Rattus norvegicus: one gene and its partners. The protein of the gene in region 1 interacts with the protein of each later gene in a pairwise test. Links are inferred from orthologs where the notes say so. Each region holds a gene or a part of one and is shown on either strand. Other genes may lie near its edges. The genes, in order: Glp1r, Slc15a4 and Cd81.

What was found.
Region 2: the proteins of Glp1r (region 1) and Slc15a4 interact in a protein complementation assay, tested with the Homo sapiens proteins (2 studies listed by BioGRID). The link is inferred for Rattus norvegicus from reciprocal best matches to the Homo sapiens genes GLP1R and SLC15A4.
Region 3: the proteins of Glp1r (region 1) and Cd81 interact in a protein complementation assay, tested with the Homo sapiens proteins (2 studies listed by BioGRID). The link is inferred for Rattus norvegicus from reciprocal best matches to the Homo sapiens genes GLP1R and CD81.

The regions. Positions count from the first base shown.
Region 1 is NC_086038.1:9,005,610-9,015,583, reverse strand, and holds the end of Glp1r (glucagon-like peptide 1 receptor precursor), read right to left. Parts: intron 9,956-9,974; coding exon 9,817-9,955; intron 8,347-9,816; coding exon 8,305-8,346; intron 5,787-8,304; coding exon 5,619-5,786; 3' UTR 3,962-5,618; downstream 1-3,961.
Region 2 is NC_086030.1:34,703,826-34,713,799, forward strand, and holds part of Slc15a4 (solute carrier family 15 member 4), read left to right. Parts: intron 1-3,042; coding exon 3,043-3,332; intron 3,333-6,279; coding exon 6,280-6,448; intron 6,449-6,812; coding exon 6,813-6,890; intron 6,891-7,150; coding exon 7,151-7,319; intron 7,320-9,032; coding exon 9,033-9,188; intron 9,189-9,974. UniProt on the Homo sapiens protein: Proton-coupled amino-acid transporter that mediates the transmembrane transport of L-histidine and some di- and tripeptides from inside the lysosome to the cytosol, and plays a key role in innate immune response.
Region 3 is NC_086019.1:207,659,684-207,670,312, forward strand, and holds the start of Cd81 (CD81 antigen), read left to right. Parts: upstream 1-5,613; 5' UTR 5,614-5,861; coding exon 5,862-5,927; intron 5,928-10,629. UniProt on the Homo sapiens protein: Structural component of specialized membrane microdomains known as tetraspanin-enriched microdomains (TERMs), which act as platforms for receptor clustering and signaling.

The DNA of each region.
Region 1 (9,974 bases):
TATTTAATTTGCTGGCTTACAGGTTCAGAGGTTCAGTCCATTATCATCAAGGCGGGAATATGGCAGCCTCCAGGCAGGCATGGTGCAGGAGCTGAGAGTTCTACATCTTCATCTGAAGGCTGTGGTTCCTAGGATGAAGGCCTTAAAGCCCACACCCACGGCGACACGCCCACTCCAACAGGGCCACGCCCACTCCAACAGGGCCACACCCACTCTAACAAGGCCACGCCCACTCTAACAAGGCCACACCTCCTAATAGAGCCACTCCCTGGGCCAAGTATATACAAACCGTCACTCCAGGTCTTACTCTAGCCCACACTTAGGTGATCTTCTTGCATTAGCCTCTCAAGTGCCCAGATTACAAAAGGCAGCCACCACCCGTTTTTTTCCTTCTGATTTATTTATTTTACTGTATGCATGTTTTGTCTACATGGGTGTGTACGGAACACACGCGTGCCTGTTGGATGGGTGTGAGCTGTGAATGGAAGCCCAGTCTCTCCTTGTTCTATGTTATGTGTGTCTTCCTAACTATACCCAACAGATTCTCAAGTCCTCTCAACATGCTTTTTAAATACCACCCCCTCTGTTGTTTCACCTTCAGACAGGGAAGCTCTAGGCCAGCCTGCGCTACCCAGTGAGGTCCTTAACGACAAAGCAAAAGTTGACGTAAGTTTTGCGGTTCCTAACGAGGTGTCTTATTTACTGTTCTAATTTCCCATTAGCCCCATCTGCTTCCTGCCCGTCAGCAGAGCAGAAACAATCATGGAGACTCTAAACGCACCACGGCACTAAGAAAAGCTCTCGAAACTACGCCGCTTTATCCGTGCTTCTTTATTTAAGAAAATATCTTCCAAAGCGATCTGTCTGTATCACTCTTTTAGACTTTTCTTTTTTAATTACATATTATTCATTTGCTGTGTGGGCGTGTGTGTATGTGGAAGTGGGGGGAGGGCATGCGTGTCACTCCATGCACGTGACGGTCAGAAGACAACGTTGGGAGTCAATTCTCTCTACCGTGTGGGACCCAGCATCAAACCGGGGCCATCTGGCTTGGAGCAAATGCTTTTACCTGCTAATCCATCTTGCTGGTCCTGAATGGTGTTTCTAGAAGTGGTCTTCCCCAGGACCAGAGAAACTTCTAGAAGTGGTCTTCCCCAGGACTAGAGAAACTTCTAGAAGTGGTCTTCCCCAGGACTAGAGAAACTTCTAGAAGTGGTCTTCCCCAGGACCAGAGAAACAATTCAGGTTGCAATCAACAGTATAGACACATGGCAATGTTGGTAGACGTTTCTCAAACTGGACCCCGCACCCCTCTTTTTTTTAACCAAGGAAACTCATTTGAGCCATGGGGAAAAAAAAAGGTTGAGGTGGGGGGACTCCACCTCGCCACATTAGAGTTGATTCTAATTCCCTTCCTGTTGAATATTTAACATGCCATTTGCATAGCTGTCTTAGCGGAATCGATTCCTATATTTTATTATTTGAGGATCAGGAGAAAAAAAAAACTGTTTGCCTCCTAGGAGCCCGAAGTAGAGTGAGCCCTGTAGATTAGACTCAATTCAGCAGATGGGATATAAAACCTTCGAAACATATTCTGCCTTCCCTGAGCACGTCGCAAGCATTAGCGATAATGGGAACCCTGTCTGCGCGCGGAAGGGAACACATCTGTCAGACTCCCAGCCAGCCCCACCCTGGCTTGTGCAGTCCTGTGACCTTCATGGCGGAGGCAGGCTGAATCTAGTGCCAGCCATCTCCTCACCCTGGCTTGGAATGCACGGAACAAGCACAGGCACACACAGCGTTCTTGGCCTTGACTTGTTAAAAAACAGCCAGCTCAGGCACGAGTGAAGACGGGAGTCTGCTAGTCCTTCAGAGCGCTGGACCATCTGGTGCTCTGTTAGATCTCCCCGGAATTCAGGGAGCACTGGAGAGGGAGAGGTGAGGTGCCCGGTCACCATTTCATTTCTTCCCGGTCACCATTTCATTTTTTTTTTTTTCGGAGCTGGGAACCGAACCCGGGGCCTTGCATTTGCTAGCCAAGCGCTCTACCACTGAGCTAAATCCCCAACCCCCACCATTTCATTTCTTTCAGTCACTTTTGGGTGCCTACCAGTATATTTCAAACAGAGATGAGTCCGAAGAACTTTAATCGTTTAAGGCATTAAACGATCTCATGGCCACACTCTCAAATATCAACCCTGTCCTCTGCTCTGTGTATTTAGTCTCTGAATTTGTTAATTTTTTTTGCAGATTTTACTTTATTTTAATTTTATATATACATATATATATGTATATATATGTTTGTGTGAGGTGTTTGTATGCCACATGTGTACAGTGTACAGGTTCCAGTCGAGGCCAAAGGAGGATGTCAGGTACTGCGTGTGTGTGTGTGTGTGTGTGTGTGTGTGTGTGTGTGTGTGTGTGGAGAGAGAGAGAGAGAGAGAGAGAGAGAGAGAGAGAGAGAGAGAGAGTTTTGTGTATGGCACACATGTGCAGGTCCCAGTGGAAGCCAACAGAGAGTGTCAGATACCCTCGAGCTGAAGTTACAGGGGTTTGTGAGCCTTCTGATGTGGGTGCTGGGAACTGAATGTTGGTCTTCAAGTGTTCACGTACTTGACCACTGAGCCATCTCTCCAGCCTCTCCACTCTTAATTTCAAGAACAAGGAAAGTACTAGAGCGGACTTTAAAACACACCCGGCTTCCTCACACCACCTCTTTGCCACGAGATGGGTCCATCTTTGCTGTTCCATTTCTTCTGCAATATAAATCCCAGGTCACACGAGGACTCGAACTCGGCACGTCTTGAATGACCTCGTATGCTTTCACCTAGCTTGCCCAGAGGCCCAGCTGCACTGGCAGCCTCGTGCAGTAGCCCCCAGCCATCCTTGCAAGACTCTCTCCTGGCTTTTGTAGGCAGGCCAAAGTCGGAGGAACTGTCTTTCCAGCTCACAGAGTGTCCCAGAATCCCATTAATGTTGTCTCCCGTGTGAGGAGCGCTGAGGTGACTGTAATCCTGTCTGCTCTCCACAAAGTCATTCGAACGGGGAGGCGATCTAGGAGTGTGAGTGATTTGCAAAGTTTTGGTGATTTAGGTGTTCAAAGACTGAACTAGAATAGAGGAGTCTTGGAGGAGGTTTCAGCCCTTACCCTGGCCCCGGGAGCTGTCCAGAGTGCTGAAGTCATCAAACATTGACAACCATCATGTAAGCTTGGGGCTGTGCGTCTCCAACAAAGCTACCACTTACGCCCTGTAGGCTAGCAATAGTAGGGGTCAGGGGTGGTCAGAGAGTTCTCAGCAAATGCCTGGCTTAGACTTATGGCTGGAGGCATGTAAACAGTTAGTGGAATTTCAGAACACATAGCAACGGATTGTTCCCAGACCTGGGGGAGCTATATTTAGCTTAAGCAAGTTTGGAAAGAGCTCAGAGGGAGTGTGGTGCCATTCAAAAAAAAAAAAACATTAATAGTACAGGGACTCGGAGAAAGGCAAAGACGTCTGCAGATCAGGAATCTGAGAGGGAAACATGCATTAATAATCTTGGGATGTGGGGTGCAGTGAACCCGAGAATCCAGAGTTCCGGGGGGCGGGGAGGGAGAACTCTGCATTAAGTCTCCCACTGGGTTGCCTAGACTCTCTCAGCATCTTTCCCTTGGAAAATTTATTTCAGGCAGATTATATCTGTCTTTCCCTTTCAGTTGTAATGAATGGTTCTAGAAAGTACCCAGTGTATCCCACGCTTGTCTCTCCACAGTTCCCAGAGTGGGAGCAAGAAAGAGGTACCCGCTGGAAAGCCTGCCCTTTCCTTAGAATGCAGAGGACCCTGGGTCCACTTCCCCCACTGAACTCCTTCACTTGGTGGGGCTGCATCTCTCCTTTCTCTAGCCTGAGGTTCCACTCCCCTATTAACATAGACACAACACTCTGTTGAAGCTTGAAGGATAAGATATTTTCTGCTTGGCATGTTTTATAGCCCATTATTATCTCCCATACATGCCTTATGCCTCTCCAAGGGGCACAGTGTCTAGTGTGAGCACTAGGGAGGGTCCCCCACTCTCCACGGGATGAGGGAGAGATAAGCCTCATGAGAGAATCCATTGAAAGCCACCCCAACCCCAACCTCAAAAGAGATCCAGATGACTAGGATTCTTCTCCAGCTCTTGGAGTCTTTCTTGGCCTCTAGGAAGTCACTGCCTAATTCCCTGGGGAGGCAGTCCTTGGACTTGGGTCTGTGCAGTGGTGTCTTCTGCTAGCCTTCTCATAGTGGTTGGAGGAGGGCAAGCATGATATACCACCCCCCTCCCCCATCCTGGTCTATGTGCTGCTCATTATGTGTGGGTGGAGTCTGGAGGTGGGACAGACGCTACTTATCAACACCGGTGGGGGAGAGGGGGTCAAATCAATCACCTTCTCCCCCACTCCCTCAAACATAACAGTTGCTGTGATCTAGTTCTTCCGTGGGGTGAGAGAAACCAGAATTATACATTTGAATAGACACAGAGTGAAGAAGGATAAAGTCTATATGTGTGCAAAGTGGGAGGATTCAGGGAAGAATCTCTTCTGGGTCATAGCCTCTGAGGTCAGAGGATATAGCCCATTCTGATTCAAAGCATAGACTCTGGTCACAGATGAGGTGTGTGTGGGGGATGGGGGGTGTTGGCAATGGATCCTTTGGTCCTCTTGATTTCAGGTCAACAGCACCCCTAGGCAGGTTACTCCTTTAGATGAACCTTAGAGGGTATTTGAGCATCTTTACAACAGAACTGAGGGTTCACACCTCACCTCTGGGCTTCTCAACTTGGGACCTGCCCTAGTAGTACCCATGCAGGGCAGAAACCAAGAGCAAAGTGGCTTAAAGGACCAGGCAAGAAGTGGGCATGGGCAAAGACTACCTCTGTTGTATCTCCCCCATGCTTATCTTCAACACCATCCACAGATGTTTCCAGAAAGAGCTGCACGGCATGACTTCAACAAACCTCCCCCCTCCCCAAGGCAAAGACAGGATGGCGGATGAACGGGCAGATGGAGGAATGGCGGCACTCCAGATGCACAGAGAAAAGCCTCTTGTCCGAGAGGAAGGCTGATGTAGGTGACAACCCCAGCCGTGCACACAGCACAGCCAGCTCACCTCGATGAGCGCTGTGCTGGCTGAGGTTCCAAGGGCAGGTCTCTCATGGACCTGCCTCCTCTCGCAAGCCCAAGTTCCACCCGTCAGCAATTGCCCTTGAGCGAGAGTTCCGGGGTTGATTTGCAGTTCTGTCCGAGGGAACCCCAAGGGCCTTGCAGCTTTAACAGGAAGAAGTCCTCCTCGTCTTAACAGCAATTGTTTCTTCCTCTCTTCCTGTCGCTGAGATTAAATTAGCAGGCTGTTCTCCTTGGAGAACATGTGTCTGTGGTCCCAGGAGGCACTGCCCGATTGCCTGTTTGATAGGTTTGGAGGAGGAAAGCGTGTGTGTGTGTGTGTGTGTGTGTGTGTGTGTGTGTGTGTGTGTGTGTGCGGTGTGCGGGCACGCACACACATGTGCCTGTATCCCTCATATTCCCTGTCCCCAGGGTCTCTCCCACCTGGGATGGCCACCCAGCCAGCAGCAAGGACCACAGGAAGCGCAGCACTGGGGCTCAGCTGCAGGAATTTTGGCAGGTGGCTGCATACACGCTGCTGCCCACCGTGGCCCCACTGCTGACACTGCTGGTGGGACACTTGAGGGGTTTCATGCTGCTGTCCCTCTGGATGTTCAAGCGCTCCAGCCTCCAGCGCTCCCAGCTCTTCCGAAACTCCATCTGGACCTTCCGTGGGAAAGGAGAGAGGGAGGCAAAAAGCCATCAGGCGAACCAACTGCCCACAAAATGGCCCTGTTATTACATTAGCAGGGAAAGGGAAAAAAAAATCCACTGGATTATATGACAAGACACGAGTCAAGGTCTTCAGGCGCCTAAATTAATATCCCAATAAAATTGTTTATTGTTGTCTCCTATGTTCTGCCTCTCCTCTGGAGAGAGATGGGCTTGATGACCTAATTGGCCCTTTCCATTTCTAAATTCAGTGATTCAGCTAAGTACCTTTTACAATCCATCACAGTATTATTCAACGGAAGAGAAAGAGTGAGGGAGGGAAGGAGGGAGGGAGGGAGGGAGGGAGGGAGAGAGAGAGAGAGAGAGAGAGAGAAAGAGAGAGAGAGAGAGAGAGAGCGAGCGCTGGGGAAGATGGAGTCCAAGGCTCTTCGCCCGGTGGCTTGGACAACTGAAAGGGAAGGCACACCCCACCCCTAACCCTGTCGAGGCCCTCGGTTGTCTAAACTCCCAGAGGAGCTTTTGCTCTGTTCTGTTTGGGTCTGAGTTTATTGTCCTTTGGACTCTGACAGCAAAGTCTCACTATGGAGTCCAGGCTGGCTTTGAACTCTCCACCCTCCTGCCTCCTTCCCCTGAATGTGAAGAAAGCAAGGGGAATAATACAAGGCCTGGATTTCTGTACCTTTGGACCCATCCCATGCAGAGAGACTGACGGGAGCCTGGCTGGGTAATCTGTTTATGTGAGTTCAGCCAACTCAAGATTCCCCATTGTGCAGAGCTCAGGCGTTCCCCAGGGGAGGAGACTTCTCAGCGGGGGTCTATGCTAGAGGATCAGCTGGGGCAGAAAGTCGCTCGGACCCCCACCATCGCTGGTCCCTGAGCTTTCGTGCTAACACTGTGGCTCTATCACAGTTCTGTGGCTCCCGGGCTGTTCTAACCAGCACAGCGTGTCCCGAAGGCTGGATGTCTCTTCTGGGAGCTATTCTTGTTGTCTGATCTTTCATCCAGCCTCTGGGCTTTCATCAGTCCATCTTGGACTGTCTGGGACCGTGTTCCTTTTAGTCCCAAGCCATCAGGAAGGCCGTGGCTGTCTGTGTGTAACAGGCTCCCTGCCAACGTCTCTACCTGCCCCTAGGCAAACACTATTCCCTTACTCTTTCCGAGTCATACATCAAGCCTTAAGCCCAGCCAGACACCCTGTGTGGCCACAAGCCGTCCCTTACAAGAACTTCTGGGCTGAGTGGAGCTAAGATCAACTAGCGCCTGCCTGCCAGGGCGTCTTGGTGTCCCACATGACGTCATGGAGCCAAGGCCCACAAGGCAAGGGAAGGAGGTGGAACAGACACTACCTACAGCTGTCTTGCCTCGCTGGGCTCCTGGAGTGCTGTCAGCTGGGATAGAGACAAAGATGGCTCCCTTCCTCCCAGCTGCAGGAAAGGAAATCTCTCACAGTCTCCCTCTTGGAGGAAGGGAAAGAAAATTGGTACACCAAGGGGCAGCCAAACCATCAGGATTTAGAACACTTGGTATCCCTTCATCCTGTCTCCCGTAGTGTTTTGCTGTTGTTTTGTTTTGCTTGTTTTTATTCCATGATGGTCCCAGTCATCAGAGTTGTTCTCTGTGCTAATAACCCAATGAATGAATGATGAATGAATGATGAATGAAAGAATGAATGGCCTGGCATCTGCACCATCTAGTGTTAACCCTTTCTGCACTGAAGCCTAGCATTGTGTTCCAAGTGCCCTCCCTGACTAAGTACCGGAGGGCACCCCAGGTTTGATAAATCTTTCTCACCTCTACTGACCCCTGGGTAGAAAAGAGAAAGCCCGCAAGGCGGCTAGCCTGACGTCACACAGCTTGGTGGCGCGGAACAGAATGAGCCCTCAGGGCTGCTTGACTACTTCACTTTGCCCCTCTGACACAAGCCACGGTCAATCCATCGCCAGCCCTCCCCTCCCCTTGTTCCCACTACCCCCCGACCAGCAGCTGGTACAGGCCTTGACAACCTCATGAGACAAATGTTCAAGCCATCTTCTCAGGTCACAAGTACCTGGCATTGCCATGGCAACCCCAGGTCTGGAGAACAGCTCTTGTGGGCAGAGGCCACGAGACTGGCTTAGGCACATGTGTGTTGGATCACTCTGCAATAAATCAGGTGCGCCCAACCTGTAGCCTGATGGCCCAGTGCATGTTAGGATAGTGACGGAGGTGGTCCAAATAATTTGTGGATGACAGTGATATGTGGTGAGGTCAGAAGGTTGGACACCCCTGCCGAAATAGTCAACTTTAACCCTTTGATGCAAGGCTAAGTGGTGCCTAAGCTCTTTTTTCAATCTGTGTGTGTGGGGGGGTGGGGGCAGGGAGAGCACAGAATAGAATATAAAGGCAAGATGTCACCTCAAATTTCAGCCATAGTGGAAGGATCAGAAGTTTCAACTAGAAAGACTGCATAGCCCCCTACCAGTCAATGGCAGCAGCCCCCACAGGGTCCCTATTGTCCCTCCTCAGACCTTACCTCATTGTTGACAAAGCAGTACAAGACAGCCACCATAAAGCCCTGGAAACAAGAGGCATGTTAGCAGGAAGGGAGCCCAAAGGAGACAACTGGACAACCAGCCCCTGACACCCCTCTCCACAGATCAGGCAGCCGGGACAGGCTTGGGAGTAGACAAAGGTGGTGTTATTTTTTTTTTTCAATTTTCCAAAATGATTTGTGTGAGTGTGAGTGTGTGTGTGTGTATGTGTGTGTGTGCAAGTGCATGAGCATGAGTATATATGTGTATGTGCATGAATGTGTGTATGTGTGTGTGTGTGAGAGAGGGGGGGGCAGAGAGACAGAAAGGTAGAGTTTATATGCACCTCATGTGTGATGGAACCCTTGGAGGCCAGAAGAGGAGGTCTGATCTGGAGCTGGAGTAACAGGCAAGTGTACAAGAACACACGGATGGGGGTTGGGGCTTTAGCTCAGTGGTAGAGCGCTTGCCTAGCAAGCGCAAGGCCCTGGGTTCGGTCCCCAGCTCCGAAAAAAAGAAAAAAGAAGAAAAAAAGAAAAAAGAAAAAAGAAAAGAAATAAAGAACACACGGATGCTGGGAACCAAACCTGAGTTCTTTGCAAGAGTCAAGTCCTCATAATTACTGAGTTGTCTCTCCAACAACGTTTGCATCATCTAATGCTAATGAAGAGGACTGACTCCCTGCTTTGAACCTGTGTGATCCCTGTGTGGTACAGCTAGCTCTTCTAACAACATATCCTTCCTGGAAGAAAGGGGGAGGCTCATAAGACCCAGAAAGGTCCTGAAACTTACAAGACTCAGGAAGTTCAGAAAGATACAAGGCCCCTCCATCAGGTTCTATGAGCAGTCAACAATTGCAGAGAAGAGACTCTGCTCCATGGAGCTGCCGGCCAATTGTGCAGGGAGCTCCAGAGCTGCAGCTTCTGTGAGTTATCAGTCATGGTGGGGTAGGCTTTTCAATGATGCAGCTGTCTTTGAACCACCCATGCTCCTGTATCCAACCCCAACAAGCTCATTGGTTCAAATGGAACTCGGTAGACTCATTTCTCTGGTTGGCTGTCAGTACTCTGTCTGGGATGAATATGTCTGTCTGTTCACGTCGCCCCAGGAAAAGCTCCAGAACACCCCGTAAATCTTGTTTTAATGTCTCTGGGCCTCAGTTTTCTGTTATGTCAAATGGGAACGATCTCTCAACTGAATGTATTGTGTGTATAAATAAATTGCCTGGCAGAATGCTAGTGGATGGCCATGCCTTTCTCTATATGCCTAGACGCCCAGGTCCACATCTGGGAGGTCTTCTTGTCCTATGGATTTCCAGAGAAGACTGGTTTATACATCCAAATACCTGGGAGCAATACACTCGCTCTGGCTCTGCTCCCACTGTGAGACTCAGGGTCAGGATGGTTCTCCCAGGTCTCGGCCTACCCATTTCTCTCATTTGCGCCATGCAGGCTGGTGCCTGACCCTCCCTCACTTTGGGACATCCCAGGCAAGCGGCCCCAGCGTTGGGTCACCTGGAAGGAAGTGAAGGAGAGCTCTGTGAACAGCTTGACGAAGCGTAGGGTTCCTCGGGCGTGCTCGTCCATCACAAAGGCAAAGATGACTTCATGCGTGCCCAGAAGCGGGATGAGCGTCAGAGTGGACTTCGCGAGTCTGGAGAGAGGGCGAGACC
Region 2 (9,974 bases), on another chromosome or scaffold:
GAACACACAAGATGGTTGTCCACACTTAGGTTCAGTTTGTGGTGTGTAAATGATATCTTTAGTAAGTAGCTGGGATCTTTATGGAGGCACTTGCTCTCTGCTGCCTCAGAACTGCTCCTTGAGAGAGGTTTCAAGACCTCCCTTGTACTTAACATGTCTGCTGCTTTGCAGGAGAAGCCAAATGGCTGGGAGGTGCTCTGCCTATGTTTTCTGCATGGGGTGGGTTCTTGCTGGCCTTTCCCTGTGAGAGCAGTGAGTGTGCTGCTGTTTTTACGGTGCTTCTGCTTTTCTGACTGGTGCTGCCTCTTGTTTCTGGATTTAGCCCCATAATGGCTTTCTCATGTGGGAGGTGGGCCTGACTGGCTGTGAGCAGGAGTACTAGGTCAGTTCACACTGGGTGTAGAAGTCGTAGAGTCGCTCTGAAAGCGGTTTGTTTTAAGGCAGAATTCATCTGCTCTTTACTTTTCACAGTGCTTACAAAATGCCAGAGGTCACTGTCATTCTTGATTGGCGATTATTCTAAAAAAGTAAGCTGAATGCTAGGTGCTTGCCTATGATTCCAGTACTTGGAAGGCAAGATCAGGGGTTTGAAGCCAGCCTCAGCTACCCAGGAAGTTGGAGCTCAGCCTGGATTACTCGAGACCCTAAACCAAGAAGCACTGAAAACAAGATTAAAAGTAGCTGAGAGGAAGAAGCTACTAGGCAGCAGGCAGTGCTGCCTCCGTGGTTTGGTCTGACTCTGTAGATGGCGGGCATTCTTTGCTTCAGCGGAAATTCGTAGTCCTGGGATTATCTGGTAACCTTTCTCTGTTTAAACCCATTCTCCCTTCTGCCCTGCCGGCTGGCCTCTCTTCTCCTTTTGGCTTTGGTGAGGTATTGGCCGGGGCATATGAAGAGTTTGATTAGTCTTGGCAGGTCATGTGGTGATGTCATGGGACTGGTACATGGGGAAGCTGTGGCTTTTTGCCAAGGGCAGAGAGAGGCATGTGACAATCCAGTTAGCCGTCCTGTGGCTACTGAAGCACTGGGAGTAGGCCTCTGTTTATAAAGCAGCTGTGTCTGTAACCCTTGGACAGTAAAGTTAGACCAAGTTCTCAAAGGACATAAGGACTTTAAAGGTCCATATGTCAGGTCAATTGAATGGGTATTCCCTTACTGTTTGGAGAGAGAGCTGTTTCTGTGAATGTGGGAAGATGTGTGTGGTTCTGTTATGAGTAATGGGGAGGGCCTGGGACATTTCAGTTAGTATCTGTAATGTTTCCTGTAATGTGCTGAGCATTGTGGTGCATATCTGTAGTTCTAGCTGCTCCAGAGGTTGCGGCAAGGGGATCATACAAGCTGGGGAATTTGAGACCAGCGTAGGCAACTGATCCCATGTCCAAAGAGGTGTGCTTTTGTTTTTGTTTCTTGTGTAAAGTGTCCTTTTTTCTCTCAAGGTTGTGAAAACAGTGACATATGTTTGTGTATATGGCGTTTATACATTCAATGTATGAAGTGTATAAATAATAAAGTATACGTACTTTGAGTTTTATCTTCTCTATTGCTCATGGTTTTTCTTTTGGCCTGCCTCCACTGGTCATGAACATTGATATCCACCATTGGGTAACATTTAAAGACATCGTGTCCCAGCCGTAAACTAAATATAAACTGTTCTTAGTGATGTCCACCTTTAGAATGGGGCCTTTGTTCAGAACTGATGTGTAGGCCAACAAAGTGCTTGTGGTTGTTGGTCAGTTTGGGGGCTGGAAATGGCACTTAGTGGTAAAGGACTAAACATCGCAAGGACCTGTGTTCAAAATAACCCTGAAAAAAGAAAAGAACAAACCAACAACTTGGATTTTTCAATTTAATGTGATTGTAACCATCTAACTGAATTCAAACACTGGGCTTGCCAATGTAGTAGCTGTCATTGGAGTCTAATAACTGTCAGGGGATACTCAGTTTACACCCTCACCTTAATCTTAAAATACTCTGTGGGGAACCATGAATGCCAAGCAGAAGCCTTAACACTTGGTAGCTTTGTTACTGTTTAAAGCTTGTTTCTAGGCAAGAGGCACTTGCTCTGTGGACCAGAAGATAGATATAGAGCCAGTTTTTAACCTTTTCCATCCATTAAGGATGTATGTGCTCCGAGCAGTCTTTGGCTGTGGGTTTGCTCAAGACAGTTTGTGAAATGAGACTGCCCAGAACCATGTTGAGTTGGATTGGGGCCATTCTCATAGTGTTCATGGTAGATGTAAACAGTACAGGTGGGAGAAGCAAGGTTAGGGCTGCCTCTGCCCAGATACCACCAAGTGGGGTCTTCAATGTGTTGATGAGATTCTCTGTACAGCTCAGCCAGGCTCCAGCTCATGAGTCCCCTGTTTTTTGTCTCTTTAATGCTGGGTGTGCACCGCTGGGTAACCTTTCTAATCTAATGCTAGCTTGTGAGCTTCTCTTACTGTGCTTACAGCTTAGTTGTAGGCTTGCCAAGGACTCTGGTGCTTGGGTACCATGCAGGAGTTGTGCCTTGCCTCCGAGCAAGCCTTACTATGCATGGGGCCAGAGCCTGCGTGGCAGGTTCTCATAGTATTCGTGTTAAGTGCAGTAAGGTCTGGAGCTCAGGATTGCATGATGATTCTGCAGGACTGGACCGGGCCAGGCTGTGGTTTCTGGACCCTATTTCAAGGATTATTCCTGGTGGCCTCATGGTAGATGGTCAGCTTTCTTTGAGCACTAGGACTTGCTGGCATTTGGAGAGGCACCCAACTTCTCTGAAGGACTGAATGTGAGATGACTTGTCAGGAGACTGGGTGAATCTGTAAACAGCATTTTGACTGTGTGCTATAATCAGCTGAGAGCAAGAACTTGAGATCCTGTGTATCTGCTCTCAATTTATAGATGATCAGGTGCTATGTAGGTGTGGTGACAGGGCTTATAGCTACTGTGGGTGGTTGGGAGGTCATTACATATGAAAACACTATGGCTTGTCGTGTTTAAAGAGTAAACAGAAAGTGTAGAAGATCACATTTTTTCATGCATTTCTCTTCTCTCTTACTTTAGGTCAAAGATCGAGGTCCAGAGGCCACTCGGAGATTTTTCAATTGGTTTTACTGGAGCATTAATTTGGGAGCAATCCTGTCATTAGGAGGTATTGCCTATATTCAGCAGAATGTGAGCTTTCTCACAGGCTACCTGATTCCTACAGTCTGCGTGGCCATTGCTTTCCTGGTCTTCCTCTGTGGTCAGAGTGTCTTCATCACCAAGCCTCCTGATGGCAGTGCCTTCACTGACATGTTCAGGATTCTGACCTACAGCTGCTGCTCCCAGAGAGGAGGGCAGCGGAGAAGTGGGTGAGTGACACTTGCTCCCTGCAGAGAAAGTCCCAGCTGAGGGCTGGGCTGAGTGTGGTTTGTGTTTGATCTTTAAGCTGGCTTCATTGAGGAAGTGTGTGGCATAAACCCCTCCATTAGAATAGCAGAGTCCTGAGTTCAATACTCTGCCCAACTCCTTCACTGCCAACATGGGTAAGGGTACCTTGCTGCTGGGTAGCAGATCGTGAAGGTAGGGATCTGCAGAGGATATCATGGAGACATTGTGTGCTTTAGACACAGAAATGTGTTAATGAGAACTTAAGCTGTTATGTATGTTGTAGGTACTTGTCTCAAAAGGAAGCTGTTGTCTCTCACATTGGTCAGCACAGAGCCATGCCATCTACTGTGTAATAGAGGGGCACATAATCATAGCTTGAGATGCACTTGGGAGCCCTTTACCGCTACTTGAATGGGGCTTGTATAGCCTCAGTGCCAGGGATCCCAACCTGGAACTTTCAGAAATACCCATATTCTGAGATATGCCCCCTTTTTCTGCTGATGGTGATCCATGGTCCTGCCCAATGTAGGTTAATGACGTCCAGAAATCAGCCTGCGAAGGACTTAGATGCTTCTGTGTTATGTATAGTACAATGGTTACTCGACTGTGGTTGTGACATAAGAGATGTAGTATTGTAGCCATTAGCAATCAAGGCATAGAAAACCAGAGTCCAGGGACCTTGGTGGTCAACTCCTTCCCTGTGATTTGCTGAACCTAAGGATTCCTGGTAGTTACTGAGAAACGTAGATTCCTTATTCTTAGGGCTTCCTGTGGGATGGCCTTGTTAGCAAAAGTACTCTGCAGGGCAGTGTGCACATCTCCTTGTGTGCTTGTCATAGCCGTACTGGAAGCCGTTTTGTGGCAGACCTGAAGCTGCACAGTGTGACTCCTGTGGCTCTGCTGATGGCACATGAGTCCCTTGGGTGAAATCTGACTGTCCCAACTTCCTTCATGGACCTACTGGGAAGTCTGTGTGCTCTGGCAGCTTTCAGACCCTGTCTGGAGGGGAACTAGCACTTGAGGAACTTGCAAAGCTGGACACCACCCAGTTCCAGCAAACCCTGGTTTTTGCTAGGGCCTTACTTTGTCAGACAGAAGCTTTTGTTGCGGCCCTTAACTGTTTCTAATCTAGATTGATCTCTGTGGGGACAGGACAGCTTTTAGCAGATATCCCTGATGAGAGCCTTTCAGTCAGGGGCCAGCATTGCTCTGGGACCTGTGGGGTTTTGGTGTGCATATGACACAAAAGTAGTGAGACTGAACGGCTTGGCTTCCTCTGAGCTTCAGCATTGGAAATCTCTGGGACAAAACTAAGCAACAAGAGTGGGAAAGGTGGCAGCTACGTTGTATGAACTTGCTGTGGGCCCTGGCTATTCAGAGACTATTAGAGTGTCTGACTTTGATATTTGCTGGGCTGCTCTCAGGATTATTGTGAGGCCTCAGTACAGTGAGGTAAGCAGCCTAGTACCTGATGAGGCCTGCCACATCCTAGGTAAGTAGGAATTTGAAGAAGTTAGAGATGTTCTCAAATGAAGAGAAGTAAGTACAGGAACCCGGGACCCAGCATCCCTCTCACCTAGTCCCTGTGATACTGCGCAGGCAGCAGGGATTCACCTCATCAGATTTTGCTAAAATACTAAATAAGTTATGGTTTTTAATTTTTCGATCTTCTCTGACTTGGAATACAGAGATTAAGAGCATCTGCTTTATAGAACAAAAATAAGGGACTGGAGAGACAGCTCAGTGGTTAAGAGCACCTGCTGGTTTTCCAAAAGACCTGGGTTTGGTTCCCACCACCTATAGTCTTCCACAGCTCTGGTTCCTTGGGATCCATGGTCCTCCTCTGGACTCTGAGGGCACCAGGCACGTCTGCAGTATACTTGACATATATGCAGGCAAGCTGGGTGTGTTGGCACATGCTCTTAATTTCAGAAAGACTGGCAGATCTCTGAGTTTGAGGCCAGCTCGGTGTATATTGAAGCAAGTTGCAGGACAGTGAGGGCTCCATAGTGAGGAAGACAAAACATACATCTACGCCAACCATACGTGCTAAATAGGAAAAAAATCAAATAATCTAAAATGTGACAATTCAGGGAAATCAGGCCTAGGATTATAAACTTGGATGCAAACAACTGCCATTCCAAGGTCTGGAGTTGGGAGGCTCTCAGCGGGGTTGAGTGTCTTATATTGGTTTTGGTTTTGCAGGGAACAGTGCAGTTTCCTACAGTTTCTGTTGGTATTGTGCAGCTGGGGAAGACCGTGTCACTGCCTGGAGGGTCTCATTCATTTCTTTTAAAGACTGCAGATGGAGAGGCAGGGATGTTCATGGTGTGATGTGAATAGGTGTGGTTGTCCAGGCATACACCTGTCAGCCAAGATGGCCTCACTCCAGTGCTGATCCCAACCCTGAGGCACTGGGATCTTGACACAGCTCTTGTCTAATCTGTGTCCTAACCTCCTCTTTGAAATGGGTCAATAAGAGCCTTGCAGGACTTCCAGGCGTGTGAGAAAGATGAATGAGTTCCCCTTCCCCTCACCCTAGTGTAGTGCCCATCATGGGTCTCTTCATCCCAGAGACAGATGTTGCTTTTCCAGCCATCAGAGCACCCTCTAGTCCCTTGAGTGTCTACCTGTTTGATAAGCCAGTATAGTCACAAGAGAAATTGGGATTGCTCAGATTACTGTCGGCTGGCTAGAAGTCCAGGTGACACTGCTGCTCTGTGGAGCTGCGTGAGGTTGACATGCCCTCCTTGTGGGTACAGTGGACACAGTTATCTTTTCCAAGGGCCGGTGCGGAGTACAGTTAGTTGTAGGAGGACTTAAAGCAGGCAGTGCACAGAGCCGCTTTCCCACCCCAGACGTGATTTGTTACCGGGCATTGTTGCTGGGGATGGAAGTAAACTAATTCCTTCATTTTGTTTCCCAAAGTGAAGGCCTTGGAGTCTTTCAGCAATCTTCTAAACACAGTCTGTTTGATTCATGTAAGATGTCGCATGGAGGGCCGTTCATAGAGGACAAAGTGGAAGACGTGAAAGCCCTGGTCAAGATTGTGCCCGTGTTCTTGGCTCTGATTCCTTACTGGACAGTGTATTTCCAAGTGAGTGCTGACCGAGCCTTGTGGCTGATGTCACAGTGCAGGGCTCAGGGTTGTCCATCAGTTGCCATAGTTTCCAGTCATGAACTCAGGTTGGCTGCTTTGTATGGGAAAACCGTTCTGAAGAAGCAGCAGAGAATGGGTGTACTTCTGGTTTCCTGGCCCCTCCAGCTTCTCATTTGGTGGCCTGGAAGCTCTTCTCAAAGAGGCTGTATGGTGACTCAATAAATTCCATGTCTGATTCCAAACTGCAGCCGCCATCTGATTCTAAGAGGAGTTGCCACACCTCAGCTAGAGGAGGGAGGGTGTGTGACGGACTTGGAGAGGCCCTGCTGGCTCACCTGCAGCATCTGCTTTCTTTATCCAGATGCAGACCACATATGTTTTACAGAGTCTTCATTTGAAGATTCCAGAAATCTCAAGTATCACCACCACCCATCACACGGTAAGAGACCTGGAGGTGGCAGGAGTTGTTTCTGCAACTGCAGCAGGTCGCTGCGACTCTGTCACTAGAACTAGTTCCTACTTAGTTACAACCTGCTGAGATTGGGTTGTCCAGTGCCATTAAACACTAGCACTGTTAGATTTAGCCCTCCGCCAGCTCAGAGCACACTTGCGGCCAGTCTCTAGTTGAAGCACCTCAGAGGCCGTGCGTGGGTGGTGTGGGGAACTGCTGTACTGAAGCTAATGCCGCGCTCTGTGCAGCTGCCTGCAGCTTGGCTCACCATGTTTGATGCGGTGCTCATCCTCCTGCTCATCCCACTGAAGGACAAGCTAGTGGACCCGGTGCTGAGGAGACACGGCCTGCTCCCATCCTCCCTGAAGAGGATTGCCGTGGGGATGTTCTTCGTCACATGCTCTGCCTTTGCTGCAGGTGAGCCAGCATTTCTCTTGGCCTCTCCTCCCTTCCGTGTCCCAGTATGGCTTCTGTATCATGCAGAAGCTAGTGTACTGTGCTGAAGACACTGGGTAGCCAGTGACTTCATCTTTTGATGAAGAGTGTTTTACAAGTGTCATTTTCTTCTCAAGGACAAATCCTCATCCTAGGACTGAGTAGACTTACCCTGCGCTGCCCTAGCCTGCAGGCCAACACTTGGTGTGGAGTGGGAATGAGAGGAGGAGATTCTGTGCAGGCTTCTGACTTCACAGTTGGTGAAGCCGCCACTGTCCCAGCATGGAGAAAAGGGGTTTATGGGATTGGTCCAGGCTCCTCGCACACTCCCAACAAAAGTCTCAATAGCTGAAGAGCTAAACTAGTCAGTCACTCAGGTCCCACACCACAGTCCAGCATGGGACAGTGTCCTGAGACACTCCTGTCCCTCCCATTCTTTGTGCTGATGAGGCTGGGGTCTGCTAACCTTTTCAGGAACAGCAGGTGCTCTGAACTGCTGAGCCATCTTCCCAGCCCCTCTTCCTTGTTTAATGGTAAAAAATAACAAGGCCAAGGATTTGCCTGTGGTTACGGCTATACCATGTTTATTGTGCTTAGTGTAGGGTTTCCGCTTTTTATTACTTTACATTTTATTTTGTGCATGTGGGGGAGGAGGAGTCAGACCACAGCACATGTGTGGAGATGAGAGGTGAACTTGCCTGAGTTCTCCCCTTCCACCATGGGGGTTAGAGAGAAAACCCAGGTCATCAGACGGTGGCAGCGCCTTCACCCACTGAATTGTCTGGCCCAGAACCTTGATTTCCACTTGATCTGAAAGTCACTTGGGCCTTTTTAGCATTTCACCTTGGTACTGAGGTTTGTTTTGTAGAGTTGAGGGAGATCGTTAGTCCTGTGTTGGGGGCATGGAGGTTTGTTACCATGGCCCAGTGGTGCCAGCTTGTTCCTGAGGGTTCCAGGTCTCCCTTTCATGTTCCTGCCGTGCTGTCCTTCTCCTGGACCTCCGCATTCTGTGCTTTATTTTAGTTCTGCCCACAGCCTTGGTTTTATTTTCTTGGACTGAGGCAGGTTTTGGAGCTTTGTCTAGAGAACTGGGCCCATTTATTTCAAGGGCTGCACATTGGATAATTCAGCATTTTTTTTCACGTGTATACCCGTGGTAGTGTCTTTGAAACTTTGGTTGCTTACAGGAGCATGGGTAACTTCACAGTGTCTGCACTCATTCTCCCTGGTGACCATTAGTTATAGAGTCTCACGCATCCTCCCAGTTTTAAAAAGACAGGAGGCTGGGGCTGGAGAGACGGCTCTGTGGTTAAGAGCACCTACCCGCTGCTCTTGCTGAGGTCCTAGGTTCAATTCCCGACAACCTGTGGTGGCTTCCAGCCATCTGTAATGAGATCTGATCCTCTTCTGGTGTGCAGGTGTTCGTGCAGATAGAGCACTACTGCTTAAACTAGATAAATACATCTTAAAAAATGAGCAGAATGAATACTTGAGGGTAAAACTGATCATAGTGAGTATCTATAAAATGCTCTAGTGAAGAAGAGGTGGATGGCATGACTGGGACCTGCCTAGGAAGCTGTCACGGTCACCTTCCTTGCTTTCTTGCACCTTTCAGGATTGTTGATAAATTCCTGTAATACACTGCAAACTTAGATTAATGTATTAAGTGCTACACTAACTTGATTCTTTATTCAGGAATCCTGGAGAGTAAAAGGCTGGACTTGGTGAAGGAGAAGACCATCAACCAGACCATTGGTGGTGTGGTCTACCATGCTGCTGACCTGCCCATCTGGTGGCAGATCCCACAGTATGTGCTCATTGGCATCAGTGAGATATTTGCAAGTATAGCAGGTGAGACTGCGTGAGGTGGCATCTGGGCCTGTCTGTATCATACCCTGCACTGTGCCGAGCAGAACCATGGTGCTCTGGTGGGGAGAGTTGTCTCTTAGAGCATGACCCAGTAGGTGGTGTCCCTAGTCCTCAGGCTTAGGCTGCCCTTCCTCATGCAAAACCAGTGTTCTTAAGATATTTTCACAAGTCCATCATGGCCTGCCCTGTGTGTCACTATGGATGGCTCCTGCTAGACCTTTTTGTCCCCAAACTTTGCAGAGCACAGCTGTGCTGCTGGTGCAGGCTTACATACGTGAATAAGCAAATCTGACTTAGAGCTTTTTCTCATGGGCCTCTGTCGCTAGTGATACCCTGCAGGGACAAGGCTTGGGGCAGGTTGGCTCTTGCAGCAGTGGGAAGAGAGGAGCTGGTGACTCCCAGGAGGGGGAGGGGAGGAGGAGGAAGAGGAGGAGCAGGAGCATGAGCATGCTGCCACCTTCTCTTTCAAACCCTGGCAGCTTTCTGTGACTACTGACATGGGCTTTGCTTTCTCTTTGCCCAGCCTGGTCCCTGGGAATATAAGTTTATAGGTACTTGAACCTATTATGCTGTGTTGGCTGTGAAGCAGGAGCCTTATAGAGGCCTCCCCTTAACCCCATTCAAGTCTTGACTTTTTAGGATTTGTTCATTTTATGTGTTGCCTACATGTATGTATTTATACCGCATGCATACAAGTACCCATGGAGGGTAGAAAAAGGAATCAGATTCCTTAGACCTGGAGTTACACACAACTGTGAGTCTCCATGA
Region 3 (10,629 bases), on another chromosome or scaffold:
ACCACTCCTTCCCCCACTGAACTGTCTTGTCCTCTCATTTAAAACCAAAGATCTGTTTCGAGAATTTCAATTCTATTTATTCCATTGATCCCCATTGCTATTGTGCTGGTTAGTTTTTTGCTTTGTTTGTTGTTGTTGTTGTTTCTGTTTTTGTCAACCTGGCACAAGCTGGTATCACCTGGGAAGAGGGAGCCTCAATTGAGGAAGGGCCTCCATCGAGTTGGCCTGTGGACAAGTCTTGGGAGGGTTCAGATAGTGGATGGTGTCACCCCTGAGTGAGCTGTCCTGGATTGTCTAAAATAGCAAATGAGGGAACCGAGGAGGAGCAAGTCAATAAGCAGCATCCCTCCATGGCCTCTGCTTCGGTCCCTGTCTTGGTTTTCCACAATGATGAACTGTGATTGGTATGCATAAGCCAAATAAATTATTTCCTCCTGGTGCTGGAGAGTTCTATGTCAACTGACTAAAGTCAGCCGAGAGAGGGGAACCTCAATTTTAAAAATGCCTCCAAAAATGAAACAGAAAAAAGGAGATAAAATTAGGTTTCCACAAGATAGGTAAGCCCATGAGGCATTGTCTTAATTAGTGATTGGTGAGGGAGGGGCCAGCCCATTGTGGGTGATGCTAGCCCTAGGGTTCTATAAAAAAGCAGGCTGAGCAAGCTGTGGTGAGCAAGACAGTAAGCAGCACCCCTCCATGGCCTCTGCATCAGCTCCGGCCTCCAGGCTCCTGCCCTGTTTTGATTCCTGTTCTAACCGCATTCGGTGATTAACAATTGTATGGAAGTGTAAGCCAAATAAACACCTTCCTCCCTAAGTTGCTTTGGTCATGGGGTTTCATCGCAGCAGTAGCAACCCTAATTAAAACACTCCCCCAATTACTTTCGGTCCTGGTATTTATCACAGCAGGAGGAAGCAGACTAAAATAGCTATCCTTATGCTGCTCCTCTGTCTCTCCCACCTCCCCTTTTGGAGACAAGGTCCCATATAGACGAGACTGGCTTTGAACTCCCGACTCTCCTGCCCTCACCCTTTAAATGCTAGAAGTACAGCCATGTTCTACCATCCCTGACTTTAGAACTATACTCTCCTGACTACTCTTGCTCTGTAGTGTGAATCAAGAAGTATAAACCCTCCATCTTTCAATCTTTTTCAAAATCATTTTGGCTATCCTTAGTCCTTTGCCTTTCTCTGTGAATTTAGGATCAAGTCTTGCAAGATGGTTCAGTGGCTAAAGGAGCTTGTGGCCAAGCTTGGTGACTTCAGTTCAATCCCTAGGACCCGACATGGTGGAAGCAGAGACTCTAGTTGTACTCTGACTTACACACACATGCTATAGCATGCACATGTGCACACACACAGAGAGAGAGAGAGAGAGAAAGAATAAATAAATAAAATGTATTTTTTAATTGAATTGAATTTAGAATTAGCATAAACAGCCAGACAACTTCTGAAGTGTTAGGACCTGAATGATAATTTTGTCTTTGGCTTGTGAAGGTCAGATCCTCTCAAATATGGTTAGATACTTGGTTTCTTCCAAGTCTGCAAGTCTCACACATCAAGACTTTATCCCTTGATGTTTTGTTCTTTCTGCTCCTTTTCTAAATGAGATCATCATTTAGACTCCATTTTGGATTATTTACTACTGGTCTATAGAAATGCGTTTTGTCTTTTGCATACTGATTTTTTTTATCTGCCACATTGTTAAACACGTTTACTCATACAACTGTTCATTGCCTTGTCTCATTCCTGTGCTGAAAATACCTGACAAGGTGACGTAAAGAAGAAAAGATTTATTTAGGCTCCCAGTTCAAGGGTATAGTTCATAACAATAGGGAAAGCAGCTTGTTACATAACACCCAGGATCAGGAAGCAGAGATAAACTACTGGCCTTCTGCTCACTTTTCTGATTTTTATTCAGTATAGATCCCAAGTCCATGGAATGGTGCCGCTCACACTTAGGGTGGGCTTTCCCTCTTCAGTCAACCCAGTCTAGAAACTCCCTCACAACATGCCTGTCTCACAGGAGATTTTAAATATTTACCAGCATCCAATCCCGAACGGCATTTTTCCTTCTTGCCGGATCATCCTTCCCAGAACCCTGGGGAGAAATGCCAAGACTGTCTTGTTCACTTCATCTTGTTTTGCCTGGATTTTGTGGGTGAGGAGCCTTCAGTCTTCCTCGAGAAGACATAGGTACAGGACTTGTATGAATCTTCAGTCTTTCCTCAGGTCTGGAGGACAGATCCCCTTCTATTGCTGTTGAATGAAGTATTTTATCAGGAGAGTTGTGGCGCTTGGAAAGTAGAGAACTGCATTTCCTATGACTGTGGAGATGCTCACAAGAGTTTTCTCTGGCACTGCTCGGCTGTTTTTGGATGCTGAGATCTTTCAGTACACAGCTGTCTTGCTCCCTGACCTGCATATGAATTTCTAGCAAGCAGAAGTAATGGCAGCGGCCAACCTCTTTGCTTGAGCAAGCCCTACATAAGTAGCCCAGTTTGGGTAGTCTTCACAAATTTTAGGAAACTAAGAAACAAGAGTGGTTCTGCAACAAAATCCCCTACCTCCTGCCAAATGCACACAGCAGGACTCCTCTGTGGAGTGAGTCACAGGACTCTGGGACTGGGCCAAAAAGGGCTTGACCTTGACTTTCCCACAGACCAGGCCCTGCTGTAAGTGACAAGGACATATTGCCCTTATGCACTTAGAGACTCTCTGCAGCAACTCTGTCACACTTGGGGACACTGAGAAGCCAGTACAAAGTCATACAGTCAGGAGAATTTTGAGACAAGCCCTGGCTATGAAGACCTGTTCTTCCCACTTTCCTGGTGGACAAGGGAAAGCAAAGAGAAACCTCCTATCCTGGGCTTGGGCTTCCTCCCCCATTCCTTAACACAGCACATCTGCCTCCATCACTGGTTTCTTGGAACCCAGAAAGCTCAGGCCGAGCTAACCACAGAGGACAATTTCTGATGCACTCTTGGGTGCACATTGGGTAGGACACATGTCCTACCAAGTGGGCCTCTTTGTTCCCCCCATGACCTCATAAGGCCAGACTGGCAGGATGTTAGGCAAGGCACTTAAGATGTGGTACTCACAGGTGCAGGTCCTGAAAGGCAGTCCCACATACTCTTGCAACCAACCAGCCATCTCAGCAAGTCTCCTGGAACCTATGAGATTGTTCCCTACACCAACCCCTTCAATCGGAACAGAATGCAGCCTAAGTCTGCCTTCCACCTAACTCAGACCTGCCTGGCCTTCTTCAGTCTATATCTGTTCCTGGTTCAAAAGCTTCCTTTTTTTGTACCTCGCCCTTTTCACAAGGCTTTTCAGGTGTGAGAGTCTGGAGCCATCTTAGCTCCTCTAAGACACATAGTGCAGGTCTAATAAATGTGTTCCTATTTCCTGGGAAGATGCAACATAAACATCCATTCACTCCAGATAGGGAACTGACAATAGACCAGAGAAAGATCTTACCAAAGCCCAACTTGGTAAACCAATCAGTTGATTTGGGCTATTTCAGGAGTATGGACGAGGGGTTACTTACAGCATCAGAGACAACTCAAAGGGAGCTATATCACCAAAAACTTCAGCATAGGTGATGGTTCACAAAAGCTGGAACCCTGGAGAAAGGCACTTGAATAGGTCAAAGCATTGTCTGTCCTCCTAATTATTTATCTTTAGAGAGGAAGGGCCTTGTAAGTTTCAGGAACATCTGAAACTTGTTAGTTGTTCATTTCCTAAGTCTTAATACCTTCCCTCCAGAAAGGAATGTTTTAATTTGGAGGAAAACTGCTTTACAAAAAATTCCCCACCATGATTGGTCAAACATCTTGGAAATTCTCTCCTTGGCACGTATGTGACCAGAGCCTAAGGGCCTCAAAGAGAGTAGTAGCCTTGGCTCCTAGGCTGTCCATAGCACTAGGAGCAGTTCTGGGAACACAATGGCATCCACTAAAACCCAGATGTTTCACACTGTACATAGACAAAACAGCTGGCCCTGCATGACCTTCAATGTGTAATCCCACTTTAGGCATGAGGCATCCCCATCACTAGAGACAGTGGAGAGCTGATGAGAAAATAGGTGCCCATCTCTGCACATGCAAGAATTATTCTTGTCCCCCTTTTAATAAAAAGAATAATAAAGAATCCTCAGAGACTCCCTCCTGGGGACTCAAATGGCTTTTATTGTGATATTACTCCAGCATTGGTAGCTTGAGTTACTGTTATTGTGACACCACGTCAGCCTCCAGGAACCATAAATCCTTTACTATACCAGCAGCTATACCAGCCTGAAGCCAAATGTACAAATTAACTCAAGAAACCTACTAGCCTAGCAGAGTAGAGAGAGTAACTCCACCCGGGAAGCTACTGGCCAATCATCAGGTTTACATGTATATTATACAAAGTTCCAAATTCGTTCTTTAGACTACTGGGCATGGTGTCCTGAACACCTATAGTCTCAGCACTTAAGAAGCAGGGGTAGGCAGAGCCCTGTGAGTTCCAGGAGGCAGGGCTACATAGTGAGATATTCTGTCTGTCTGTCTGTCTGTCTGTCTCTCTCTCTCTCTCTATATATATATATATATACACATTCCTTTGTAATATATTCCTCTGTTTTACATATATTCATTTCTTTTACATATATATGTATTCCTTTTGAACATATTTCCAGTGCCTGTAGCCAGAGGGGTGCCAGATGTGATTCCCATAGGGAACATGTCCTTAACTGCCCAAAGATTTAAGAACATGGAGTGAACTGGAAAAGGCTGCGTCTTGAGAACTGGCCTTTCTGTGGTTCCCAGTGAGTCCCTGCTGATGAAGAAGCCCCATTGCCTTCCAGCTTGGGGAAGGGAGTGCCAAGATTTCACAGGAATATTATCTATGGCGACAGCAGCCATTCCTCACCTGGGAAGGGAGCACCTCCACCCTCTGAATTTTTCCTCACTTCCTTATAATCCCAACTCTCAGGAAACCAGCCAGAGGATGGAGGATGGACTCTTGGAAGGCACAGCCAGAATGGCATGAATATTGTATTTGAAGGTGCCCCTGAGGGTTCTCCAGACACAAGACTGGCTAGAGACATTGGGTACACTATTGACCTTCCCAAACGCACTCTCCAGAACTGCAGCCAGGGACTCTGCAGAGATAGAGGATTAGCAATGCTACAAAGAATTCCATTCTAGACCTTCAAGTCCACGGAATTGCTGCCTGGGAGATCATTATAAACAAAACATGCTAACTTTCAAGACCTTTTGTCGAGACACCTCTACTAGAGAACCCTCTGGGAAAGTCCAAGGCAAGTACAGGAGGAAGTAAGTGGGGCTTCTTCGGGGAGGGGTGTGTGTGTGTGGGGGGGGTGCCATTCTCAGTCACGACCCAGGGACCTGCCCCGAGGGTTGGGAACCCTCAGGAAACCTGGAGGTTCATCCTGCGCAGGCACAGTGCACCCAGGCCCCAAGAACCAGCTGCACCGAGTTCCCGAACACTTACTCTGGGACTGAGGTGGCAGCACCCACCCAAGCACCCCTGGCCCGGGCACCCCGCAGGCGGGAGGCGGGGCCAGGGGCGGAGCGTCCTAGGGGCGGGGCCTCAGAGGGGCCGGACCTAGCGGTCTATAAAGAGTGAAGAGCTCGGCGCGCGCCCGGTCTGAGCGAGCGCGCCCTTGCTTCAAAGCGGTAGCGACTCTAGCGCCTCCGGCTAGGCCTCCAACCCTTCTCTACCCTACGTCTCAATAGCCGCACCGCAGTTCTCCGGCCCTCAAGCGACCCAGGCTATCTTCCAGTCCCGGACTCCGGTACTGCGTCCCCAGACCGCCCGCTCCAGGACCAACCCAAGCTCCGCAGGCCGCGCGCCGCCATGGGGGTGGAAGGCTGCACCAAATGCATCAAATACCTGCTCTTCGTCTTCAATTTCGTCTTCTGGGTGAGCAGCCACTGGGGACGGGGCGCACCCCACGGCAGCCAGGCCGGGCAGCGCGCTAGGCCCAGCTGAGAAGGCGCAGCGCAACCGCGAAGTTGCGGCGCCACCTGTGGGCTCCGACCGCCGGTTGGGGTCCTGGCGCCCCTCGCCAGCGGGGTTAGGGCCGAGAGCTGAGCTTCCGGGCCTCCGCTCGAGGGGCTTCTGGGGCCGGGAAATCAGGCTCGCTCGCCTGTCCCCTCTGAGTGCTGGGAACTGGTGCAAGAGTCTGCGGGCTAGAGCCAGGTAATCAAGAGCCCTCAGCTGTGAAGGGGGTACTCGCACCCTCCTGAACGTTGTTTTGGGGACCATCCTGCTTCTCGAGCAGTGAGGGGGCTCGAGAAGGGCGGGATCTTGGCGCCCCGCCCCCATGAGCTCATCGTAGCCACCGCCCCTGAATAGGCGGCCTCGAAGTGGTGGGGGCACTCCATACTTGCCTTGGAGATATCAACCCCACTATTACACCACCCCTGCTTACCCTCTAGCTTGGTATTGCCACCCTGGGATGCTCGAGCTCCAGACCTAGAGGGCAGGGTGGCCCGGGCCGCGTGCTGCTGCTCACTGTGCCCCAGTTCCTAACCACCTCCACCCCCATCCCCCCAGCTGCCCCTCCTCCTTGTCTGTCGTCTCCTGCACAGATTACAGCCCCAGCCTGGCCCTTAAGATCCTGTGGAGTCTTTTGAAAGGAAGAGGGCATTCTGAGTTGGTGCAGGCCAGGGTGGTGCAATGATCTTGGGTCTGTACAAACCAGGGGCTTGGGATCTTTTCATATATACAGAATCTAAGCTGGGCTCTCCACTTTGGAAAGAGGTGCACACCCATGTGGTCATCTTGGAATGGAGACATGGGTATAGGAGGGTCTCCAAGTGTCCCTGGGTCCCGACTGTCTACATTGCTGCGAGTAACCATTGGTTACTTACATATGGGCTTCTTTCCATTTCCTGACTAGGTTGGGAATGGGGAGTCTTAACAGACCTGCCAGCGGGGACTTGAGTGGGCAGTGCTGGCCACTCCTCCGGACAGTGGTGCCACCCTCCCCACTGCAGTGCACAGACTGCTCTTCCCACCACCCTCCTTCCCAGAAAGAAATGAGGTTATGCCAAGGCAGTGTGTCTCTAAAGTTGAAGCTGGGAGGGCAAACTTGTAAGACAGCCCCTAGAGTGAGTGTGTAAGACAGGGGACACCTGTTTTCCATCGTGAACTGCTGACGATCCCAGGGGGGGTGTGGGTGGGGTGGAGGGTAATAAGATGTGAGGGATGGGCAGGGACTGGACTAAACTCAGCTGGAGCTATGTATGCTGCACGACTTGCTGCAGGGACCAGTCACAGTGACTCCAGGGAACACACTGAGGGGAGCAGCGTGGGTGATGGGGCTAAACTTGCTCTGCCCGGGCATGCCTTGGGCTCTTGACTGGGTAGCCATGTTGGATAGTGTTTGTCTACTCTGAACCATGCAAGGAGTTAAATGCACTCCCAAGAAGTGTTTTATCCACCTCCCCACCCCCGTTACACCTCAGATGTGGGATGTCAGGACCCTGCAAGATATTTCTTTTTTGGCCCACCCACCTTATCCAACTGGCAGAACCCCCTAGGCTCCCTGGAGTGCTGGGGCTGGGTGAGGTTGCTTGTTTCCCAGGCAGCTGGGGTGGAGTGCCAACATGTCCCTGGGGTACTCTCTATCAAGGCTCCAGGAAACGGTTCTAAAGCCTCTCCCTGCTCCCAGGGGCCTGCCTACTGACTGCAGAACAGCAAAAACTGTATCCTTTCACAATCCCATAGCCCTCTCCTCCCCACCCATGTTGGCCCCACAGTGAGTAGGATATGGTGCAGAGCCAGGCTACATCTGGTGAACACCACCCTGGCAGAGGAGCTCCTTCTGTGCCCCATGTAGCAAGGTCTGTCCTGTGACTATAGTTCCTGATGTCATGAAATTGAACCTTTGGGGAACCCCACCCCATCACTCTGGTCCATGGTCTTCACTTCTCCCCTCTAAAGTGAGAGTTCTTGGGGTCTCTGTCTCCTGGGATTGTGGGTAGACTAGCTAATGCACTCCAGAGTGGAACAAGGGGCTTGGCGCAGAGAAGGCTCAGGAAATGGATGCTGGGCACAGTATCCAAGAGGGAGTGGGGCCAAGAGAAGCTGAGCAATGAAGTAAGAAGTGCCTAGGGAGGGGGCTGAGAGGTCCTGTGGGCCTGTGGTGGGTATGGGGGCTAAGAGCTCTTATGTAGGGAGATTCGGTTGACAGTAAATGTTTCGATGGACACTTTTTAAAATTTCCAGTTTGAAGATTAAAGAGGTTTCTCTGTGGGAGGGGACATTCCAGGCACCCTTGCCTGCACACTCTCACTCCCACCAGTCCTCCTTGGGCTTGAGTTCAGAACCTACTCAGGGCCTGGCAGAGTTCTAGACTCCCAAGATATACCGGGCAGGTCACAAACCTGAAAAATGAGTGGTGTGCAGCAGAGACCATGTAAGATGCTCTTAGAAGTAGGGTAGTTACTTGTCCCTGAGACAGGTCTGGGGGTAAAGGGACCAGTCTCCTGACTCCGGCTGGGAATAGGGCAAGAGAGCAGGGGATGGTTTATCGCTCTGCCAGCCTATAGCTTGGGGTGGGTCTGTAGGAACTTTGTGTGATAATGTCTCCATAGGAGTAGTCAGTTAAGGGGAGGAGGCTGCCACCAATCTTCACTGTGTTCCCCCACAGAACTGGCTGCTCCTCCAGCCTAAGGCTGCTGGTGGCCCCCTTCCAGTAGCCTAGGCAGCCAGACCCACCACAAAAGGCTGATTACAGCCTCTTAACTGGCATTTAATTCTCCAGACTGAACATGACTGTCTGTCACCCAGCGGTCTGCTGCCTTCCTTCCGGCAGAGGGGCTCCAATCCTGTGGGCTCAGGGTAGAATGAGAACTTCCTGTGCCTAGGTTCACCAGTGGAAGAACAGACTTCCCCTCATTTCCCCAGGCTGTCTGCTGGCCTGGCTTTGGGAAAGACAATCATTGGGTTGGGCTGCCTGAGAGGGGGAAGTCTGGTTCATCCCTGGACTGGCTTCACAAAAGGACATCCGAGCAGTGGGGGGCACAGAGCTAGAGTAGAGAAGTGGGAAGCCCCCTGATATCCTCTACTCTGGTTTCCACACACTGCCCCCTCATAGTAAGAGCCCAGACCCCATTCTTTCTGGACCCTTCTGGCTTTCTCTCTGCACTTGCCTTCTAGCTCCGTCCTACCTCACACAGAGCTTCTGTGACGCTCTAGGGGCATACCAACAACTGCCAACCTTGATTCCTGCACCCAGAGCCCTGCCAAAGGGATTGGAACCTCGGTTGTAAAAGGCTTAGGGTCCAGCTGCCCTAGGGAGAGAACAGGAAATCACCCTTGTTCGTGGGAGAGGGTTCAGGTACCTATGGCCCTGACACCAGGGAATCAGGTAGGACATAGTGTGAGTGTTGGGTGGTCCTATAGGTACCCATTTTGTTCCTAGGACTGTTGCTAGAGAATTAGGTGTCCCGAGAAGTGGCCTTTGGTAACCTTCAACTGTTTAGTACTCTGACCTGGCACGCCAGTGACTGACTGTGACCCCTAGTACCTCCCCCACAAACACAAACATACACACACACACACACACACACACACACACACACACAAACGGGGGTGGGGGTGGAGAGAAAGAACACACTTCTAGATCCAGTCTAAGCTATTCTGCCTGGCTAGCTGCAGAGCATGGGTTATGCAAACTATTTGGGCTCTACCTTTGAGGGAACTGTTCACAAGGGGTTGGGCATCAAGCAGTTGGTGGTGGGCATCCTGGAGTGGCTGCCAAAGTAACTGCAAGGGGGTGTTGGGAGAGGGAGACTGCCTTCCTTCATGTGGAGTCTGGGGAGAGCTTCAGGGATGGGAGTGCAGGGGGTGCTTTAGAACCAGGACACCCATAGTTTTCTAGCCCCAAAGCACTGAGTTGGTAATCCAGGCCAAGAGCCTGGGAACCAGGCAATTTGGGCAGAAGATGCTGGGTAATAGGGCCCCCAAGGGTCCTGTGTTTCCCTTGCACTGTCTCACGGGTCACTCCATACACGATGTCAGCTTGGGTCATTAGCACTTTCTCAGGGTGGGTCTGTGGCGTCCTCTGTGACTTGTTTAGCTGTGCTTTCACCCGTGGTCAAGCATCAGTGTTGGCTCTGTACTGCAGCTAAGCAGTAAGGTCCCAATGGTATTTACAGATGTCTGGTGTGGCTGGGTGCGGAAATGAGGAAGCTCAGGCCACCTGTCCTCCTGAAGCCCATCCCTGAGCTCTGGAGTGGGACCTTGTGTTGCAAGGGCTTGTGGAGTGTGACAAACACATACTGTGGAGTGTGACAGGCATATACTATCACTGCCGTCCACCCACTAGTGTTCATTCACCTCACAACTCTTTTTGTCTGTTTTCAAGGCAGAGCTTTTCTGGCCATCCTGGAACTCTCTGTAGACCAGGCTAGCCTCAAACACAAGAGATCGCCTGCCTCCACCTCTGCCTCTGCCTCTGCCTCTGCCTCTGCCTCTGCCTCTGCCTCTGCCTCTGCCTCTGCCTCTGCCTCTGCCTCTGCCTCTGCCTCTGCCTCTGCCTCTGCCTCTGCCTCTGCCTCCTCTCTGCCCCTTTCTGCCCCTGCCCCTGCCTCTGCCTCTGCCACTGTTTCTG